4 linked regions of the Ovis aries genome follow. The protein of the gene in region 4 purifies or fractionates together with the protein of the main gene of each other region. This does not show direct contact. Links are inferred from orthologs where the notes say so. Each region holds a gene or a part of one and is shown on either strand. Other genes may lie near its edges. The genes, in order: CDH5, CDH1, TES and CTNNA1.

Region 1 (5,262 bases), on a different chromosome or scaffold from region 4:
CCAGAAAAAAGAGCACCCCTCCAGGACTCCCACCAATACACCTTCTAATCTCAGGGCTGACATCTGCTAAGTCCACTGTAGTGACAAGGCCTTTCTCCTGCAGGGACTCCCACGGGCAAAGAATCCATTGTGCAGGTCTACGTTGAAGTTATGGATGAGAATGACAACGCCCCAGAGTTCGCCAAGCCCTATGAGCCGAAAGTGTGTGAGAACGCCCCCCAGGGCACGGTGAGTCTGGCTCAGGCGGGAGGGCGAGGCAGCGCCTGCCTGGGTCAGACCAAAGGGGCAGCACCTCCTGCTCACAGTCAGCTGGCGCTTCATGAGCTTAATGTAACCTGTAGAACAGCCTTGAGGAAAGATGACATTCCCCCTACAGATGGTGAAACTGAGGCTCAGAGAAACAATGTGTAGTGAGCAGATTGGTGGGGAGGCGGGTGGTAGAAAGAGTGACTTTTTGGAGACCATTGAGATTAGTGTTACAGGTGAGAGGCAGCCACAGTCAGATCTAAATCCAAAGTCCCTCACCATCACTGAAACCCCAGCCAGCTCAACACCACCACTGACCATCCCCCATCTTCCACCCTCCAGCTGGTCGTGCAAATCTCAGCAACAGATAAGGATATAACACCACGAGATGTGAAGTTCAAGTTCTCCCTGAGCACTGAGGACAGCAACTTCACCCTCATTGATAATCACGGTGCGCCTTGAAGCAGTCAGCCTGGCTCTTGGAGTGGGCGGGGTTGGGGGGAGGTGGCGGTCAGGGATGGAGTTATTTGAGTCTTGAGATGCCACGGTTACAGACAAGCCAATGAATCAGGTGCCCTCCCTGGGGCTATCAAGTTCCAAGATATTGTATACAATTCCCACCACATACCTTGTTGGTCCGTGCAATTGTCAGAGCCACCCTGGCCACGCTGCCAACTCCACATGGCCTTGCCTTTTCCCTTAAGATGCCCAGGTCACTGAATAGGCACAGAATAGACATGGGGTGTAGAGAGCCTGGTTCACAAACTAAGGGACTCCTTCCCATGGGACCTCTGTGGTCAATACAACTGCAAATTACTCTATGACACGGAACTTTGAGGTTGCTCCCAAAAAGCCAAAATGGGACATTTGAAACCAAAATGCCAAGAATACAGTGTTTTGATTTGGCCGCAATGATCACTTAACACCAGGTATCCTCAGGACGGGATCTGGTCCACCAGTCACATCCCAGAGTCCTGCGATGTCAGCAGTGGCCAATCAGAGCTTCTGATGAGTATGTGCTCCCTGGAGTGATAAGGCTGAGTTGGCTGGATTCCAGCCAAAAACAGACAGGCTTCCATGCTCTCTGCACCTTCCTCAGAAAAAAAAAAAAACCTAGAAAATCCCCCTTGGGTCTAAAGAGAGCAATCCTTTCTCCAGAATGGGGAGGAATCCCTGCCCATCCCTAACCGGCAACGTGGTGGTTGGTGAGGCTCCCACCATAGACACAGCCACTGCCACCTCTGAGGAAGGTCAGGGACTGGGATTCCTGAGAGTGAGGGGGAGACCCAGGGGGCCAGCCACACACTCCTTCTTGAGAGATGGGGATGGTGGCCAGGACATGCTGACAGTCAGTGCCACACCATTCAACACTCCGCTGTCTTCGGTAGTAAATAATGTGGGAAAAATACCTGTCACAACCATCCCCAGTGCCTGCTTCAAACCTACCTCACAAGAGGTCAGCAATGGAGTAAAAAGCTTAAGTGTCACCCCCAAAGACCCCCCCCAATATGTGATCAGGAGATAAGCTCGTTGGCCTCAGACTCACTTATAACATGAATGTCCCGCTACAATATTAAATGAGTATAGCGAGAAATCTCTCATTTCTCTCATACAGTCTCAGTGGCCATACTGTTATTATTTTCTATTACAATAGATATGGCTACTTAATAATGAAACATAATTGGCTTCCATTTAAAATCTATAAGACAGCCTCCTTTGCTTTTGGCTTCCTGAGTGTGCCAACCCCGCCCATGTAGCTACATAAAACCTGGAGTAGGGAGTCCCTGCAACTTTGACCATCACAACCTCCCAGAAGCCAGTAAAAGACACATTTTTCTGGCCTCTGCCCAGAGCCACTGAAACAGAAATTCAGGAAAGGAGAGAGGGGAAAAGAAGGAAGGAGGAGTAGAGGGGAGGTGGGTAGGGGTGGGGTCTGAAAAGCAACATGTTCAAAAATCTCCCTGGGGAATTCTGTACATGGACTGATTGGAGCTGAGAGGGAGAGCCAATATTTGGACCAAAGCACAGTCCCAATTCCAACCTGCCCAGGGAATCCTCAATTACACTGGAATCATTCCCTCAGTGCCCCAGGGGACCTGTGCGTTGTTCTTACCTTCTAATGCATTTTCAGGGACAGCAGAAACAGCCTTAGAAGTTAGCCTGATGCTAAGAGACTTTTTCAATTTTGTTTTCCCCCGATTGTTCATAAAAGCATGAAACAATGCATTAATTAACTGAGAGTTCCCTCTTACTGAAGTAGGGTTAGGGGTCAGGTATTTCAGTTACCCATAGAAACAAAAAAGCAATGATTTTAAGTACTGGCCAAATCCTTCTTAGAGGCCAAATCGAAGCAGCTGCCCAAAACATCCCCTCTCTGGAGGAACAGACCTGCCCACAACGGCTAAAACACGAGGCAGGGGTATAAAGGGCAGACACATGGCCCAGGCAGCATATGAGCGGGTACAGTTACGAGGGCTTCCTGGAGGAGGCGGGCCCCACTGTCGGTGGTGACGAGAGAATGGGCACTCCAGACAGCAGCGCCTGACTCCGAGGCCTTGGTGTTTCCAGATAACACGGCCAACATCATAGTCAAGTACGGGTATTTTGACCGGGAGCGCGCCAAGGTCCACCACCTGCCCGTGCTCATCTCGGACAACGGGAGGCCAAGCCTCACGGGCACCAGCATGCTGCACGTGACCGTGTGCAAGTGCAACGAGCACGGCGAGTTCACCCTGTGCGAGGAGGTGGCCGCCCAGGTGGGCATCAGCATCCAGGCGCTGGTAGCCATCTTCCTCTGCATCCTCACCATCACAGGTCAGTGCCCAGAAGGATGGGAAGGGATGGCGAGGGGACTGCAGGGGAGGAGGAGGCGGCCGGGGATCCAGGCCCAGCCCCGCTGCTTTCAGCCCAAAGTGCGGCCCATGCTGGGGTAAGGTCCACCTCCCTGGGTGCAGAAGGGTGGAAGTGGATGACGGGAGGAGGAAGCGCAGCTCAAGACCCCTTCCCCAGTTTAAAATACTTTATATAACATTCATTCATTCAACCGACATATTTTGAGCACTAACTGTGTGCCAGGCACTGTTCCAGGCACTTATTTATATAAAATCTCTTTTGAAAAAAAGAGGATCCAGTCTCTCTTTCGGAGAGAAATGGAAAGTGTAAATTTTCTTGTTTAAATTATCACCAGGGGGCGCTTTCTTTCTTTTTTTAGGATTCCTCCAGCCTTGATCTCTCTCTCTTTTTCTTTTTTTTTCCCCTTGTTTGGGCCTCAGAAATTTTACAGGCATTTTAGACCTAGCCTCAGTGTACGGTCTCCAGGAAGTAGACCCTGGGAAAAGGATTGGGGTACACATGATTTATTTGAGAAGTGGTCCCAGGAAGGCCCAGAAGGAAGAGTGGGAGTTTTGACAGGGAAAGGAGGCAGCTGGTGAAGGGCAAGTTGTCACACAAGTTGCCACCATGGGCCACTGGAGCTTCTCCTCCCCGGGGACTGGGCGGCAGCGCTCAGTCATGTTCATCCACCAACGCCCACCGGCAGATGGCCGGGGCTCCTCCTGCTCTTTACGTGGGGCAGGAGCCAGCCGTCCAAAGGAAGCCCATGAGTGGTCAGAGGTCACCCTGCGCACTACAGTGACAGGACTGGGGACACAGTGAGGCTCCAGGCCTTTCCTGCCAGTGGCTCCCCTGAGAGGCCCCCTGGCAGAGCCCCCCTGCTGTGGCCAAGAGTCCAGACTGAGAGTCCCCTCTCAATACAAATCTGTAACAGTGATGATACTGGCATCCCCACCACTCATAGAATTGCACTTAACCTTGCACCTTATCAGATGTAAACGGCAGAGGAGTCATCACTTCCATTTTACAGACAAGGAAGCAGACTCAGAGGGCCACCCTGGCTTGCCTATTAACAGTCGGTTAAGTAACTCCAGGCTAGAAGGACAGAGTCTAGGGAAGTTCTGGGCCTGCTTCCAGGAGCTCTCTGCCCCATGTGGGCTACCCCTCCTAGGGCTGGCAACCCTTATGCAGTCGCACCCCTCAGAGCTCTGGGCAGGGCCAACATCACACCACTGCCTGATCATGGGACTCTGGGCAAGGGACTCAGCTTCTCTGAGATCAGTCTACTTACGTAAAATGGGATAATAATACCGGATGAGATGGTTGGATGGCACCATCGACTCGATGGACATGGGTTTGGGTGGACTCCGGGACTTGGTGATGGACAGGGAGGCCTGGTGTGCTGCGGTTCATGGGGTCGCAGAGTCAGACACGACTGAGCGACTGAACTGAACTGAGTAAAAGAACGTGAAAACGTGCCACCACTATGCCAGAATGTACACAGCAGGTGTGCTCAAGAGTGGCTGCTGCTACTGCAACGGGAGCCACGTCCACCAGCACCGTCACGACCCACCATCGTCATCATGGCTCAGAAGCTTTGCACCCCAAATTCCAACTCCATCTTTTCCCCTCTTCTGCCCCAACCTATGGCCTCCTGGCCTTTGTAGATGACAGAGAATTCATCACAGAGCTACGAGGTGGGAGGAACTGAGGATGCAGTTAGATGGGAAGGAGAGTGGCAGGAGAAAATGAACTTGAGAGAAGGTCCACTGTGTTCCTCTCCTCCCAACCCTACTGTGGCCAGTGACACCAACAAGGATCATGCCCTGGGGTGGGGTTGGGATGGACATGACTCTGGGCTGGGAGTGAGGGTGCTGAGGGTGGACCCACCATGCGACCAGATGGAACCAAAGCTTCTGTGTTGGCCCACGTGCCACCGGGAGCTGGGCTCGCCCAGGGATGCCCAGGGAGGAGGGGAGGGAGCAGGTGGGCCTGGGGGAGGTGGAAGGGAGGGCATAAGCCTCCGCCCCGCCTGACCAGCTCTGGCTCACTGACCACAGTGATCACCCTCCTCATCATTCTGCGGAGGCGGCTCCGGAAGCAGGCCCGCGCCCACGGCAAGAGCGTGCCAGAGATCCACGAGCAGCTGGTCACCTACGATGAGGAGGGCGGCGGCGAGATGGA
Region 2 (5,266 bases), on a different chromosome or scaffold from region 4:
AGCATCAGTTCCTAAAACTTAATCTGTAGGCTAACTCCACTTCGGAGACCTATATCCCTAGGAAAAATTTAAGAGAAAAACTTTAAAACACTGGGATATCAAATTGTTGCATAAGCTCTGATATTAAGTCATTGGGGGCAGAATGTCCTTTAAAAATGACAAGTGTTGGGACTTCTCCGGTGGTCCACAGGTTAAGACTCTGTGCTTCCACTGCAGAGGGTGAGGGTTTAATTCCTGGTCAGGGAACTAAGATCCTGCATGCTATGCAGCCAAAAAACAAAAAACAACCCCAAAACAACGCGGGTGTGAGATGTGGACGTGATATAGTTCGTAACATCACATCAAACCCTCAAACCCGGAAATCTTATGTGCATGACTGCCTGAACTCTGGACACCAAGAAAGATCCAAAGAGGAAACCAGCTTGGTGATATGGTAAAGGGTTCACTGGGTTTTGTTTTGGCTGTTTCTTTTTTACTAAATGGAAACCATGTCGTCCTCTCAGAAGCCTGGAGATTCTTCTTGGGTAGTTTGAACTGTTCAGCCTGTATCATCTCGCCTAAATGATCCTGTTTTGTTCCTCACCTTCTTTCCTTTTAGGACTCTCTCTCTGGAACTCAGACGGAAGTGCTCACATTTCCTGGCTCCCACCATGGTCTCCGGAGACAGAAGAGAGACTGGGTCATTCCTCCCATCAGCTGCCCAGAAAATGAGAAAGGCCCATTTCCTAAGTCGCTGGTCCAGGTACTTCCTTCTGTACTTCCTTCTCTGGGAGGGAATTTGGCTGAGAAGGACCTAGGAGAGAAAGGGGAAACAACCAGTGTCAGGATCCTTTCTTGCTCATTCATCTCTCTCTGCTTTGTCTCCAGATCAAATCTAACAGGGAGAAAGAAACCCAAGTTTTCTACAGCATCACTGGCCAAGGAGCTGACACACCCCCTGTCGGTGTTTTTATTATTGAAAGAGAAACAGGATGGTTAAAAGTGACACAGCCTCTGGATAGAGAACACATTGCCAAGTACATTGTGAGTGTCTCTTAGAAGCTTGTTAATGATGGGGTTACATGTTTCCAAAATATTTTGGTCAATTCATGTTGATCGTAGATCAGATGCTCTGGACGTTTGAAGAGCTTGACTCGTCTAGACCTGTCAATAAGGTGAAATGACAGGAGAACCTGGGAAAAACTAGGGGCTGTTTTTGTTAGGAATAAAGTTGGAGAGAGTCTCGAGGTATCAGACATGATCTTAGACCCAAGATGTCAACCTATTCTTGGGATTAAAAGTCCCTGACATAAAGGCAGACGGGCTTCCTTGCTGGCTCAGTGGTAAAGAATCTGCCTGCCAGTGCAGGAGACATAGGTTCAGTTTCTGGGTCAGGAAGATCCCCTGGTGGTGGAAATGACAACCCACTCCAGTATTCTTGTCTGGGAAATCCCATGGATAGAGGAACCTGGCAGACTACAGTCCATGGGGTTGCAAAGAGTCAGACACAACTTAGCTACTAAACAACAATGATGACATAAAGGCAGAGGATGGTGATGATGTTGGAGAACAAAAATCATTTCTGGGCCTTGAGAGCAGTGTGAGCTCAGGGACGTTGGGAGGTAATGCCTTGATGCCAAATGCAGAAAGGTCTTGGGGAAACCCTAGACTCAAGTGTCCAGAGTAGATCTGACCCTGCTTGGAGTAAGTCAGAGAGTCTCAGGTTTCCACCTTTATCTCCTAGCCCTGGTCCTCAGCCCCCATGTGGGCAATGGGGCCTTTGACCTGGTAGGTGTGTTCTCCAGCCCATGCGTCTTCCCATGTTGTAGTCTTAACCAGTGCCATGACCTCACTGAAGCAGCAGCATGTGTGTGGGATAAGCTCTGTGCTGGGGAGTCCTTACTTGAGTGGAAGGGAGTGGGGCCCAGTGGAGCCCACACTGCTCTGGTCGGACCCCTTCTCCCATGTCCTCTTCCCGAGTAACCCTCACTTGGCTCTTGCAGCTCTTCTCTCATGCCGTATCTTCCAATGGACAAGCCATTGAAGAGCCTATGGAGATCGTGATCACAGTGACCGACCAGAATGACAACAAGCCCCAGTTCACCCAGGAGGTCTTCAAGGGGTCTGTCCTGGAAGGCGCTCTTCCAGGTGTGTCCAGCCACGAGGAGCTCAACACCCACCAAGACAATTTAGATTCTTTGGACCGCCCCCCTTCCCCAAGTGTTGGGGCTGGCATTTGGGGTCAGGCCTTTCATAGGCGCAGAACTTCTTTGGAAGATAGTGTGTGTGTGTAAAATATCCTCCTGACAGAAACATGTAGAAAATGTCCAAGAGCAGTTTAAGGAAGGAGCAATTTGGACTTGCCTGGTGGTCCAGTGGCTAAGACTCCATACTCCAGAGATCCCACATGCCACAGCTAAGACTTGGGGCAGCTAAATAAATAAACAAATACAGAGCAGTTTAAGAATAGCCTTCCCTGATTAAGAAATAGATCCTTGGGGACTTCCCTGGTAGTCCAGTGGTTTAGACTCCACACTTCCAATGCAGGGAGTGTGAGTTCAAACCTTGGTTGGGGAACTAAAGATTCCCCATGCTGCGCAGCCAAGAAAAGTTAACAGATCTTGTTAAGAGTTTACGGCCCCTGTACAGTCCCTTCCTGATCACATTTTTCTCTCTGTCCCCTAAAGGCAGCCACTACCCTGACCTTTATAGGCTTCCCTTGTGACTCAGCTGGTAAAGAATCCGCCTGCAACGCAGGAGACCTGTGTTGGGAAGATCCCTTGGAGAAGGGAAAGGCTACCCACTCTAGTATTCTGGCCTGGAGAAGTCCATAGACTGTTCAGTCCATGGGGTCACAAAGAGTCAGACATAACTGAGCAACTTTCACTCTGACTTTTGTGATAATCATTCCCTTACTTTCATTCATCTTCTGATGTGTGTACTTAATGCTGGGTAACACCTTGTGAGTTTTGCTTACTTTTCTACACGGTGACAAACAGTTTTCTAAGGTGGTTGAACCAATTTACACTCCTACCAGCAATATACCTCATGGAATTGTAAGACTTCTTTTTGGCCAGTCTGTTGAGTATATGATTATATATCAGTGTAATGTAAAATGGCATTTCTATGATTATTAATGGAGTAAAGAAGCATCATATGTTTGCTGACCATTTGGGTTTCTTTACAACTTAAATGTTCAAGTCTTTTGCCCTTTTTTTTTTCTCTTGGGCTTTTTGTCTTTCGTCTATTGGTTCTCTCCTTCTCCCCACCCTCTGCCACCCCTCCCCACCCCACTGTTCGGTTTTGGGACTTTTACTTCCCCAACCAGAGATTCAACCTAGGCCCTTGGAAGTGAGAGCACACAGTCCTAACCACTGGACAACTAGAGAATTCCCTGCCTATTGATTCTTAAAGAGTTATTTGTCATGAACGTTATCAATATTTCCTTCCACCTTGAAGGCAGTGATCTTAGATGACCATTCTCTCAGGCGGAAATGTGGCTAGGAAGCGAATTGTGGCAATTTCTGGGGTTTTTCCTCTCTTATGCACTATTCATTTAGTGTATGAGACAGAGCAAAAATGTTTCAGTTGAACCAGGTGGGTTCTGGGAACACCATTCATTCATTTGGTAGAATGCTTTCTTCCTCCACTAAGCACTTTGGTCAGAATTTTGGAAACGAATCTTCTTTGCTTCCAGGAACCTCTGTGATGCAGGTCACAGCCACAGATATAGATGATGACGTGAACACCCACAATGCTGCCATCGGTTACAAAATCCTAGCCCAAGAGCCCATGCTGCCACACAACAAAATGTTCACCATCAACAAGGAAACAGGCGTCATCAGTGTGCTCACCACCGGGCTGGACCGTGAGGTCAGGGGTCAGGAGGATCCAGAGGGTGTGGAGGGCAAATAATGTTAACTCCATTTCCTGGATGATGTAAAACTCTGCCAAGGCTGGTCACCATTTAGCATGGTGATGGTCTGAACTTTGCATCTCAGAGTTTGTCTAGAGATTTGAGGCCAGGCAGGCAGGTGGAGTTATTGGTATTTAAGCAGATGAAAAAGTAATCTGTTTCTCTGCTGGGAGCTGGGTGGGATCTGATGTAGCTGTGGGTCCTGACTCGGCTGTGTTCGATCTCTGCAGAGTTTTCCCACATACACCCTGATGGTCCAAGCAGCAGACCTTAATGGCGAAGGCTTGAGCACAACTGCAACGGCCGTGATCACAGTCCTGGACACCAATGATAATGCTCCCAGATTCGACCCGACCACGGTAACCCTGCCCCTTCTTAGACAGTCTCCAAAGAAAGGTCCTTGGTTGTTTCCCAGTATCTCAGGGGTGAACCCTTAGGTAACTTTTCCCAGACCATTCAACTTCAAGCTAAAGAACAAGCAAGTTGAGGTGCCAGTTGTCTGTCATCGTCAGCCTGATGCCTGTTGGCCTAGGTTTCTGAAGCTGCAAAATGCACCTCCTGAATCCATGTCCTCATATTGGGCATCTTAGTAGCAGATCTTACCAGGTTTTATCTATTGAATAAATATCCTCTGGGTTTATACCAGGCACTGTCTTAGACACTGGGCATATTATCACAAACACAGCAGACCATCATTCTGTTCTCATGGAGCTTAGAGTCTAGCTAGGGAGACATTAGACAACTAATAATTGTGTGTAATTTTAGTAAATGCAGTCAAGAAGAAGGTACTGAGAACCTGAAACCTTGTTGTGTTCCTTAGAAATCAGCTTAATGGTTAATAAGAGGGATTTGACTATTAACAGTTTAAACAAATAGGATTGCCTTTTTCTACACTTTAAAAGACTCAGAGGTACATAGTCCACTCTGTCAATAGAAACCAAGCCTCCTTTATCCAGTCTCCCTCCATCCTTGGTGCATGGATTCTATCCCCAGTGTCACTTTGTGGCCCAAGATGGCACATGGAGCTCCAGCTATGTCTGTGGTTTCTTCAGAAAGAAGGCAAAGTTGAGAGGTACCTACGACTTTGATGCTAAGTCAAGTTTTATTATTTCTGTGAAGACCCATCCCATAAATTTCATTTATCTCTCATTAGCTACTGCTGTCTGCAAAGGAACACTGGAAATACAGTATTTTATCTGGGCATGTTGCTGCCATCAATCATGTATTAATGTTAGAGAAGAAGAGGAAAATAGATCTTCAGTAGACAGCAGTGTCTGCCACTCTAGCCTAGGCTTTACGAGTTCAAGAGAAGCTTTGGACAGACGGTCTGATGCCCCGAATCAAGAGAAAGCTTGCTGCATAGCAAGAACT
Region 3 (5,904 bases), on a different chromosome or scaffold from region 4:
CATCATTTGATTCCTTATTTAAACTGTTTCACTGGACATTTTCCATCTGTTAAGCTCCCTGAAAGAGACCAAATTGCCTTGTCATAACTAAACCTCATGTTCATTGGAGTTTACATTGGGTAAACTTTGCAGGAGCCCAAACATTGTAGCATGGTTTGGGAAAATGGCTTGGAAAAGTTTTAATTAAACTGAGTGAGAAGAAAAATTCATGACCATCTTGGTCATTTCATTTTTAGTTTATTAATAGAATAAGAAAAACATCACATCATAAATCAGTGCTCTGTTTGTTACTGAACTGAATTTGGGTCTGCTCATCCAATATGAGACAAAGCTAAGCTACTGACACCAGGTTGTGGTGAAGCAAACTGTAGTGTTTATTGTGAAGGCATCAAGCAAGGAGGACAAGCAACTAAAGCTCAAAACACTAAAACTCCCCAGTGGTTTTTACGGGAGGATTTTTAAAGGCAGCATTTGGGGTATGGGTTGTAGGGTGCCTGACCAGCTTGTGCACAATTCTCTGACTTGTCGGTGATGAAGTAACAGCACACAATTTCAGGAATCCCAATCATCAACCTTCTTAATTCCAACCAGTCTGGGGCCTACATGTTGGTGGTTCATCTGGTTGGAGTGGGGCCTGGTTTCTATAAAACCAGTACAAGGATATGGCTCAGGATACTATCTATAGCACTGAAGGAAGAAGCTAAAGGCCCTTGGCTTTACTTTACAGCCAAACTATTATTATTTAGTTTCATTTGACTGTTTTCCTTTGTTTTTGCAATTTCTCATTTAACTGATTAAATTTGCTTTTGGGAACTTGGGAAAAGCGTAGGAAGTTAATGTTCTTCTGCAAACAAAAGGCAGGGGACACCAGGGGTCTGTCCAGGGGAAGATCCTAAGGGTTGAAAACGTTAGCTAAAATGATTTTGGGTTTTTTAAGTTATCATATTTCAAAAGGTAAAGGGGAGAGAGGGCTTCCCTTGTAGCTCAGTTGGTAAAGAATCTGCCTGCAGTGCAGAAAACCTGGGTTCGATTCCTGGGTCAAGAAGATCCTCTGGAGAAAGAAATGGCAACCCCCTCCAGTATTCTTGCCTGGAGAATCCCATGGACAGAGGAGCCTGGCAGGCTACATACAGTCCATGGGGTTGCAAGAATCAGGCATGACAGAGAGACTAAACCACCACCACCACCACCACCACCACCAAAGGGGAGAGAAATGTGGACCTAAATAGCTATATGATTTGGGACTTTTTCCCTTTTAAAAGTAGATGCAGATTAGGTGGTCACTTGCTATCTAATCATTATAATTTTCTATCATTACCATGAACAGAGGAAAAAAAGTCAAAAGGTTGTTTTTTTCCATCTGGAACAAGCTGAAGACACTGCTTAAAGACTCATGAGCTTTAGCTCTGTCCCCAAGAGACTAATAAATTGGGCAGGTCCCTATACTTCTGGGGTCCTCAGTTCCCTGCAAAATGAGAAAGTTATACTCAATAATCCCTAGATTTCCTTTCAGGTCCACCAAGGCAATAGTATTCATTGCCATTGCTCCTGAACGAGGCCATAATATGGATCCAAATCTAGAGCTGCAGCGCTGCTTGTTATGCCTATGATACTGCTTCATCTAAGCATGAGGCACATGAGCAGCCTCACATCATTTCACACAACAGGGGCAAAGGACAAGCCTCTCCTTCCAAAGGAATGGTGTAAGTTATCCCTTTACTGGTTCACACTATCCTCATTTTTGAACTATCAAATGCTCAGAAAACCCATATAACCCTCTTCATTGGCTGTCTGAGATAAGGTTTCCAGCCAGTGCTTGGGATATTGGAGAAAAGTATTTAGCCAAGTGCCTTTTCCACAACTCAACAGTGAAATTATAGAGTGCATTTCCATCACGAAGATCCCTAACAATCCCCACAACTTCTCTTTTTCTTCGCTCTGAATTCATATTTAAAGTCCCAAGGAAAACAGGTTCAAGCTGACTGAATGGAAAAGGCTCTTCCTCATTTCAGCTGGAGGCAGCTTGGGCTCCAATTCTTTGGGAGCAGGTAGTCAGGACGCCCAGCGGAGCCTCAGAGATCAACTCCGGGCTACAGGATTGAGCTCCGCAGGGTACCGCCCCGAACGCGGCCCCGCCCCTCACCTTGCTGGCGCCGCGCTCGGCAGCGAAGGTGCGTGCGGCGCTCAGTGATTGGCGGCTGCCTGGAGGGGCCCGGCTGCCATTGGCTGCTTGGGCCTCTTTGTTCCCGGTCCCCGCCGCAGGCCGGCTGCAGCCGACTGGGCAGCGGAAGTTTGACCGTGCCGGGCAAGTGGCTGCGGCGGTGGCGCCGGTGTCCCGGTACATCTCCTCCAGTACCGGCAACGGTGCCAGACGCCCGGCGATCCTGGGCGTGATATCCCCGACAGGAGGAGAAACCCCCTCTGACACATAGACATGGACCTGGAGGCCAAAGTAAAGAAGGTAGGGTGGCTGGCAGCAGCCGCTTCACCTGCGCGGGGCGCCGCCCCCTGGCTGCCAGTGGCTGGTGGGGCGCAAGGGCCGTCAGGCACGAGCGGTGTCGGGATCGCCGGCGCCCGGGGCCCCAGTACCCGGTCCTTCGGGTAGAGGGGGTGTCCGCTGGCCCTACTAACTCCTGAAACCCAGGAGCGACTGAGAGTCGCGCGCGAGGGCGGGCGCGGGACATTTCTCCCTGTCTAACCAAGTCCAACGGTTGGAGGTGTTTGAAACTTTTCCTTAAGATGTTTTGGCAGGGCTTGTGCCTCCCAAGAAGAAAAGGATGAGCTTAGGGCGAGTTCGGGCGAAACCGTGACACTACTTCTTCCTGTCTCAGGAAGCTGAACTTTATTAAGCCTTTGTGGTTTGGGGTGACTGATGAGACTTTTGACAGCTCAGACCTCCTCCCTTCCCAGCTTGGCAGTCAAGAGGCTGTCTAGAGTGAGCGTTGATTTAATGTGCTTCCTTCGCAGCAGCGGCTGGTGATGGCGTGAAAGGTGAACTTTTTTTTTTTTTTTTTTTTGGTCTCTGGTCATTCATTACTTGACTTCCAAAGCACTGCCTTCGTCTTCCAAAGAAAATGTTCTCCTTCTTTGGCAACTAGTCCCAAAGGACGATTGTCAGCGGTGGTTTAGCTCCAGGAGACGTTTCCTGACTGGCTGCCCTCCGGGCGTCAGGACCCACGGCCCTACCTGAGCCGCTCCGTGATATTAGGAGACTCGCGTTTCCTGGGAGAAAAGGGTGGGACTAGACTGTGACTCAGAGGGAATGCTGATGTCACATTCCAGTGTAACGTTCTGTGTGAAAGGTCGTCTCATTCCAGGGAATTGATTAAGCTACTTGCTCCTTGGAGAAGGAAATGTTGCTCCTTATCAAATAAAGAAGGAAGTTCTGCTGAGAGTAAAGGAGGGGAAAGTAGAGAACCTAATTTTCTTCTCTTGCTCATTGTGGGTTATCAACATTGCCATTACTTTATCTTCTAAAGACAAGGTTTCTAACCTAAGCATTAGTTCTGTTTCATGCCCAGAGTTGGATTTTTGAAAATATATGCAAGTGCAAAATATTAGGTTAGGTTAGGAGGCTGTTGAAAAATAAAAAGCCTGCAGTGGGGAAAAAAAAAAAACATGTTTGCCCTTTGTGACTAGACTCAGCTTCCAAAAGGGAATTCATGAACAGGAAAACGTATTCTGAGAGTACAGTGATTGAATTCTATTGTCTTCTAGTTTGGTTTCTTATTCTTTTCTTTGCTTTTAGATGACACTTCACTTTCACTTTTCGCTCTCATGCATTGGAGAAGGAAATGGCAACCATTCCGGTGTTCTTGCCTGGAGAATCCCAGGGACAGAAGAGCCTGGTAGGCTGCCATCTCTGGGGTCGCACAGAGTCGGACACGACTGAAGCGACTTAGCAGCAGCAGCAGCAGCACATTTTTTGTTAATCTTGCTTGCTACTAGGAAAGCATTTTGTTTGCCCCTTAATTAGCCATCTGTTGATGAACGCTGCTTATTTTGTTTTTCATGTGGGAAACAGTGGGTAATTTAGTACTTGTCTAAAAATTTTTTGGGGGGATCTTGTCTATGCTTAAACATAGTGCTTCAGAAAAGACGTTTTAAATGCCCAGATCCTTTGGGAGAGAGGGATGAATGGGTGAAACCATTCTGTAAGCTACTGTAATTGTGAATACCTGTCATTATATATTTGTCAAAACCCACAGAATAAACACCAAGAGTGGACCCTAAAATAAACTGTGGACTTTGGGGGATGATGATGTGCCAGTGAAAGTTCATCAGTTATAGCAAATGTACCACTTTGATGTGGGATATTGATAATGGGGGTGGGGGTTGGTCTGAAAAGGGATAGGAGATATATGGGAATGCTGTATCTTCTGCTAAATTTTGCTGTGAACCTGACTGCTCCGGAAAAACAAAACAAAACAAAAATCCCCTCTATTTAAAAGGAGGGGAAAAAAAAAACAAGTAGCATTCAAAAGTGATTTTGAAATTATTTGAGACAAGAAGTAGTTCTGAGGGAGAAAGTCCAGAGTTAAGAATTATATGTGCTAGCAAGGGAAAAATCCAGACATTATTTATACAGTTTCCTTAGTTTCAGAATGTGGATTATCATAAATAATGGTCTTGATATATGGTGTAATTTTTCTCCTGCATCTTCCCTTTACTTTAAAAGGTTATCTTTTCAACCGAGAATCTTATCCTTCTCTCTCATCTTCCTCCTCCCCTCCCGCCGCCCCAAGAAAAAGGATTCCATAAATTTAAAACTTGTACAGACAATACCATGACAGTAACAAATCCTTGTTTCACTACCTTGTCATCACTGGTGATTCTCAGGGCAAAGTCCTCAACTAGTAAATTGGAAAGTAAAAGATCCCAAAGATGTCCAGTCTGATTGCCAACATACCTTCTCTGTGTCTAGGTAGGATCCTTGACAGATTAATGTTCTGTGCATTTGACAGAGTGTTTCCCAGTACAAAGAATTTAGAGGTCCCAGAAATACATTTCATAATTTCAAAAAGAAACTTGCATTCCCTTTAGAAATTGTTTTCTAACACATGAGAAGAAGGAAACATTACAAGATCATCTTTGATCTTATGAGCCTTCTTACCCTATTTTGGTATCTAGATACTTTTCAGGTCTCCCTTCTTTTTCACTTGGATATACAAGAAAACTGATAGTTTTACTATACCTTTTAAAAATCATAGCTGAAAGTTGAAATAAAGACACAGCCATTTAACTAAAACTAAATTTAACTTCTGTTTTAAGATGCATGGCATTTTTTTTCCTTTTAAAACCTTTTTACTGTTGTTTTCATAAGAAATATTCTCTAGGCAGATGACAAATGTTACTTTCCCATTAACATTTCATGTAAAAAGAATTAGAGGGTTATCTTTATTTCACATCCACCTAGGTGGATAATGTTATTATAAGATTTTTTGTTTTTAAGAGGAGAACTTGGGTGTCTATCATGGGCATAAATTTGGATTAATTACCAGTTAAAATACACCATCAGAAAGGCAAGGAATTTTTATAACTAGATTTTACTATATTGTATTTTGTTTGAGATAAGTGAGCTGTTGCTAGGAAGTAAGAGCTAGTTTGGTTATACAGAGTTTTGTTTTAATATTTTAGAGTAGAATTTGAGTTTTACATCTTCGCTCTTTCTTTGGAGTTTCTTGTCTAGATCTCTTCCTTATGTCTTGTGTTTCTTCATTATAATTAACTTCATGTAAGTAGAGCCTGTGTCTGCTTGGAAAACACAATGACCTTTGAGAAACAGAAACAGAGTCTCATTTTGTGATGAATGCTAAATCATGGCCCACAGCCAGCTATTTTCCTCTTTCCTTTCTGTGTTACTCTCCCCTGAGAAACACTTTTTTCCCTTTAAAAACATACCAG
Region 4 (5,266 bases):
ACTGCAGGCACCCAAGGATGTGAACAGCGAGACTGGGAAGCAGCTGCATGAGTCCAGGTGAGAGGTGCTGGTGCCCTAGACCAGGGCAGGAACCATGTTCAGAATCCCTATTTATTAAGAAGGTAGGGCAACAGGATCTGCGGATAAATCAGATTCAGCGTATAAGGCAAAAAGTGGAATCAAAGGTGAATCTAAAGTTTGGGCCTAAGCAACTGAAGACAGACGTGTCATCAACTGATGAGAGAACTGAGTGCAGAGATGCAGAGCTCACTTTAGGGATGACAAGCTTGAGGCAGACAAGCGAGGGGCAGCAAGCAGGGTGGCTAGAGGAGTGGACCATGGGAGTCAGCCTCTCACTGGTTTCCTCTCATCTTTATGCTCCAAGCGAATGAACACAGTCAGAAAAGAGACAGGTGAGAATCTATGCTACAGGGTGTACCCGTGGTCCCAGGCTGTGAAGATGGAGGAGGAGGGACCAGCGAGTTTTCTTCCGATGGGAGAAATTAAGGCATGTTTGTCTGCTGGGGGAAAAGTGCTGGAGGAACAGGGAACGAGACCCAGTGCAGGGAACAGGCTCAGCCAGGAGCAGATGTTCAAACCACCTCAGGATCCTCGGGAACGATGGATCTCTGGTGGCTCAGAGGGTGAAGCGTCTGCCTGAAATGTGGGAGACCCGGGTTTGGTCCCTGGGTCGGGCAGATCCTCTGGAGAAGAAAATTGCAACCCACTCCAGTATTCTTGCCTGGAAAATCCCATGGATGGAGAAGGAGCCTGGCGGGCTACAGCCCATAGGGTTGCAGAGTCGGACGTGACTGAGTGACTTCACTTTCACTTTTTTAGGATCCTCAGTGAAACGGTTACCAGGGCCAGACAGGTAGGATGGGGCACAGGTGGGGAAAGGGGAGGCAAGCAGGAAGGTAGGAAGTGTTCCCAGACTGTGTAGCACCAGCAGTCCCCTGACATCCTGGGTCCAGTGACCCCAGTCAGATGACTGTACTTTTATGCACCATGTTCAGCAGAAGACAGAATTTCACTAGGGCTGTATTTTGAAAGGCAAATAAGGGGAGTAAAAGGGTGCAAAATAGATTGTACTGATGAAACAGAAGCTGGAATAGGAGTGAGACAAGGACCCAAGAGGCTGAGGGAGGGTTGCAAGTGGGGAGGACCAACCGGCTGAATATCCTGATGGACTCAAAGCATTGTTGGAAGTCACAGAACCAAAGGGAGCAGCTGACGGAAGGGATGATGGGGATGCTGGTTATGACAAGGACCAGGCAAAAGAGGCTAACTACAAGGCATCAAGAAACCAAGAGGCCCTGGGTTGGAAGGATGGTTCCTGAATTAAATCAAGACAAAAAGGAGGAACTAAACCAAGGCTGCTGCAGACCTACCCGTCCTTGCTCCCTGAGCCCTCCCAGGTGACCACACCCAGGTTCCATCTCACCACACCTGCCAGGGCCTCTTGTACTTACGATCCCACACAGCAGTAAGCACACAAGAAACAGCTACTACATGCCAGGCCCTGACCTGACCTCCAGTTCATCCCATCAAGCTACCAACACCATCATCTGCATCTTAGAGAGATGCGGGAACTTGCTGAGAGTCTCAGATGTGAGGAGGAACCCTGCTTCCACAGAACAGGCCCTGGATGTGCAGGTATCCTGGGGTGTGTGCAGTGCCAGCTCATTTAAAACCCCAAAGGCATTAACCTCAGACACTCAGCAACTCATGATTATTAATGTTTCTTCTATTCTCTGTCCGCATGCAAAGAACTTTGGAAAAACAGGGCTGCGTTTTGCCATCACTGGTGCGCTTGACCCAGGGACCCCTTCGCACCTCTGGGGGCCAGGCCTCCCTGAGCATGGGCTGCTCTCCAGCACAGCAGCAGGGGTGAACAAAGCAACAGGCTCCCCCAGATCCCCTCCCAACCCCCAGTATGTGCAGGTGACCCGGGCCTGCAGGAACACCCAGCAGCCAGCCATACAGTCCTTGAGCCATTCTTGTTGCTCCTTACCCCTGAGAGAAGTGCAGTAATGCCCAAATGTTGCTACGTTGCATACAGAATGTATCCAGCCTGATGCAACTACCTTAGAAATGGCTTCTGTTTCCAGCTGAGGGGGTAAAAAGGGGGACAGAACCCCGTCCGCCTTGGGCGGTCGGACTAGCAAACCATGAAGGTGTAACGGAAGCTTCCCGACAAGACTAGACTGTCAGCAGAGGCCAGCAGCCGTCTACTCAGCAGGCCTGCCTTCCAAATGCTGGCTCTGTGGCTACGGCAGGGCTGGCCCGAGCCTGGGGGTGACTCCGGGAGAGCTTGGCACAGGTCCTGCTCTCCACTTCCAGAGCAACACATTCATGTTCAAAACAGCGTGTGAGGCATCAACTGCTATGTGAGTCCCAGCCTAAGACACGGGATGATCACGGAGGAGGTGGTTTCTCAAAACCCTACTGTTCATGCCCAGGGGACCCCAGACACTGCCTCAGACGCTGAGAACTGCCTCTGGCTCAGAGAGGACGGGTCAAACGGGGCCCAGAGCAGGTGGCACTTCCCTTCAGCCACGGTGAGAGGGCTCGACACTTGGCCCTAGAGATCAGGAGCATCACCAAGGGCTGCACAGCCCCTCATCCTTCCCCTCAATACCCTTGGGCTCTAGTACCCTGCCTGCCTGCCACCCCTCTGAGGTGAGGAGTGCTCCATGTAAAGAACAGTTTCAACCTGAATAAAGGAAATATTCCCTTCTCTGAAATTCACTGAGGAGCCTTTATTTTCTATCACTGCCCTTTAACTCAAGAGGAAGCCTCAATTCATACTAGGTCCCCTTTTCTCAGCCCAAGTTTGGGCTCTAACTTGCAACTAAAAGTCATTTTAAACAATGTAATTAAACATATCTCTTCCTAACAGCCCTTAGATTCATGGTTTTAATATATTGCCAACACATCTGTTGAGTTCCAGAATGATGCATTGCTCAAGTTTAGCAAATGATAAGAAGGAAGCTGTTAAAACATCTGAAATGCAGTTACTCACCCTTATCATCAACACCGCTTTCCTGATGTCCCGGATGCCATCGTACACCAGGCGGGAGGCATCAATAAACTCGTTTTCATCCATGGGCTGGGCAGGGTCTGAGCTGAGGGCTTCCACAGCCGCTTCCACTTGCTCAGTAAAACGTGGCATGACTGCGGAGAAGAGAGATGATAACATCACCACCAGCCCTCCTAAATCCCTCAGTCAGATGCAGAGAGGCAGAGTGTATGATGAAGAGCCTCTGCTTCTACCTATGTGAGAGGTATTTATAGTTCAAATAAATTAAATGCCATATTTTACAAAGACTTGAATCCTCTTCTTTGTCTCTGGCCAGATTCTGGAACACAGGATTTAGATGGCTGAGAATTTGAATTGGGATTAACTAGAGGCCTTACTAGAATGGGACTCTCCTTAATTTAGTGTGTTCACTAACTAGAGATATAACTCAGAAGTTCAGAGTTCAGAACGACTCCCATTACTACCTGTGGGACACAAGTAAGGGAAACGTGTTTGTGTGGTCTTACTGTGGCTGACCAATGACTCATAAATCCGATGTACCTTCCAGAACTCTTGTCCGAAAACCAAACTGAGCCCCAGTGTCCTACTTCCTAACCAGAGGGCCATCTGTGTGTGAGGAGCACAGGTGAGGGAGGGGTCCCGCACCTGTGTTGGAGAGCAGCTTGGTTGCTTCCAGCACCTTCTCTGTGTAGACTCCTGGTTCATAGTTGTCCATCTCTGAGGTGACAACATGAATGACCCGGGCAGCCCGGCCTCGAATTGCACCAGCTGTGCGGTCTAGCCCATCCACATCTTTCTCTTGGAGAGCAATGACACATTTGTTCACGTCTTCCAAAATGTGATTCTCTGAGGAACAAACAAAAACAGCTGAATGAGGGAGGAGGCCTCCCACCAGAAGTGGACGATTTTAAGCTGGCATCTGTCACTCATCCAGTGCTCACTGCGTGCCAGCTACAGTGCCAAAAGCTTTGCACATCATTCACTCAAGAGACCAGACTACCCAGGGATCAACTGCCTGGAAACTGGACCTGCAATCACCCCAAGAATAACCATCTTTATTCCAGGTTTAGAAGAGACAGGCAGAGACGCCCATCTTTCAGAATCCTTGATAATTTCTTTCCCTTAAACAATTTCATTGATTTTATATCCCAAAGTCTAAATTAGAAGACAAGGTTCACTATTCCCAGTCCCTTGCCCCTCGCTCCAGGAGATGCCAGTGGTATTCAGACAAACGACCAAGACATCAGGACAACTCTGGAACATGAGAAGAGCCTGGAAGGCAGGCAAAAGCCTCGTGGAGTTGGATTTGGAAGATCTACCAGAACTGTTTTTCCTCAAAGACAAAGCTTGACCCTGGGTATTGGGAACCCCAGAATGAGGAGTTCACGTTAACCTCATCTATAATAGCAAAGTAGGAGCAACCAAAATGTCCCAGAACAGAGTAATAAATTATGGGCACTGGGCAGCCACTGAAATGGATGAAGATCTGCAGGGGCTGACCCAGAATGGGAAAGGGAATGTTCTCACCACCAGGAACTGTGCAGTCCACCAGCAGAAAGCCCTCATGATAGGGCTCACAACGCATGGGGCCGGTGGGTGAGCAACACAGTCTCCAGGTCATTGTCTGGCTATTTTCTTCCTGCTCAGAAAGCAGCTTTCCTTAAGACACACAAGAAATCTGAGAAGCAGTGTCTGTTAAAGACATGCTCCCTTCCTTAAACCAAGACAGTTCATGCACTGGTTTTTCTGGAAGAGTCAGGACAATTAGAGCAAATGTAATCTGTTTAAGAAACACATCTGGGGACTCCCCTGGTGGCTCAGTGGTAAAGAATCTGCCTGCCAATGCAGAAGACACAGGATCAGCCCCTGATCTGGAGGACCCCACATGCCACGGAGCAACTAGGCCCATGTGCCTCAGCTACTGAAGGCTGAGAGCCCACACGCTGCAACAGAAGCCCCCCGCTTTCTGCAACTAGAGAAAAGCAGGTGCAGCAATGAAGACCCAGCAGAGCCATACATAAATAAAATTATAACTAATAAAGACCGAGAAACGCAGCTGACCATTTCTTTCCCATCCTGGTTACATTATGCTTTTGACTTGTCATGATCTAGGACTGGTTCTGATTTAATTCCCTTCTAAAAGTTATTACCCTTCCCTCACAGCCTCTGCTGACACAGTCATGTTACATAACACAATGTCTAGAAGAGTGATTACAATAGCTT

What was found.
Region 1: the proteins of CTNNA1 (region 4) and CDH5 purify together in Homo sapiens (affinity purification with western blotting; 4 studies listed by BioGRID and IntAct, counting the BioPlex papers as one, with this or other methods). This does not show direct contact. The link is inferred for Ovis aries from reciprocal best matches to the Homo sapiens genes CTNNA1 and CDH5.
Region 2: the proteins of CTNNA1 (region 4) and CDH1 purify together in Homo sapiens (affinity purification with western blotting; 10 studies listed by BioGRID and IntAct, with this or other methods). This does not show direct contact. The link is inferred for Ovis aries from reciprocal best matches to the Homo sapiens genes CTNNA1 and CDH1.
Region 3: the proteins of CTNNA1 (region 4) and TES purify together in Homo sapiens (affinity purification with mass spectrometry; 3 studies listed by BioGRID and IntAct, with this or other methods). This does not show direct contact. The link is inferred for Ovis aries from reciprocal best matches to the Homo sapiens genes CTNNA1 and TES.

The regions. Positions count from the first base shown.
Region 1 is NC_056067.1:33,729,082-33,734,343, forward strand, and holds part of CDH5 (cadherin-5), read left to right. Parts: intron 1-103; coding exon 104-228; intron 229-588; coding exon 589-697; intron 698-2,814; coding exon 2,815-3,060; intron 3,061-5,138; coding exon 5,139-5,262. UniProt on the Homo sapiens protein: Cadherins are calcium-dependent cell adhesion proteins. They preferentially interact with themselves in a homophilic manner in connecting cells; cadherins may thus contribute to the sorting of heterogeneous cell types.
Region 2 is NC_056067.1:35,664,869-35,670,134, forward strand, and holds part of CDH1 (cadherin-1), read left to right. Parts: intron 1-598; coding exon 599-742; intron 743-867; coding exon 868-1,023; intron 1,024-1,982; coding exon 1,983-2,127; intron 2,128-3,676; coding exon 3,677-3,852; intron 3,853-4,125; coding exon 4,126-4,254; intron 4,255-5,266.
Region 3 is NC_056057.1:53,712,663-53,718,566, reverse strand, and holds the start of TES (testin), read left to right. Parts: upstream 1-2,254; 5' UTR 2,255-2,434; coding exon 2,435-2,461; intron 2,462-5,904. UniProt on the Homo sapiens protein: Scaffold protein that may play a role in cell adhesion, cell spreading and in the reorganization of the actin cytoskeleton. Plays a role in the regulation of cell proliferation. May act as a tumor suppressor. Inhibits tumor cell growth.
Region 4 is NC_056058.1:47,904,109-47,909,374, reverse strand, and holds part of CTNNA1 (catenin alpha-1), read right to left. Parts: intron 3,890-5,266; coding exon 3,689-3,889; intron 3,178-3,688; coding exon 3,026-3,177; intron 1-3,025. UniProt on the Homo sapiens protein: Associates with the cytoplasmic domain of a variety of cadherins. The association of catenins to cadherins produces a complex which is linked to the actin filament network, and which seems to be of primary importance for cadherins cell-adhesion properties.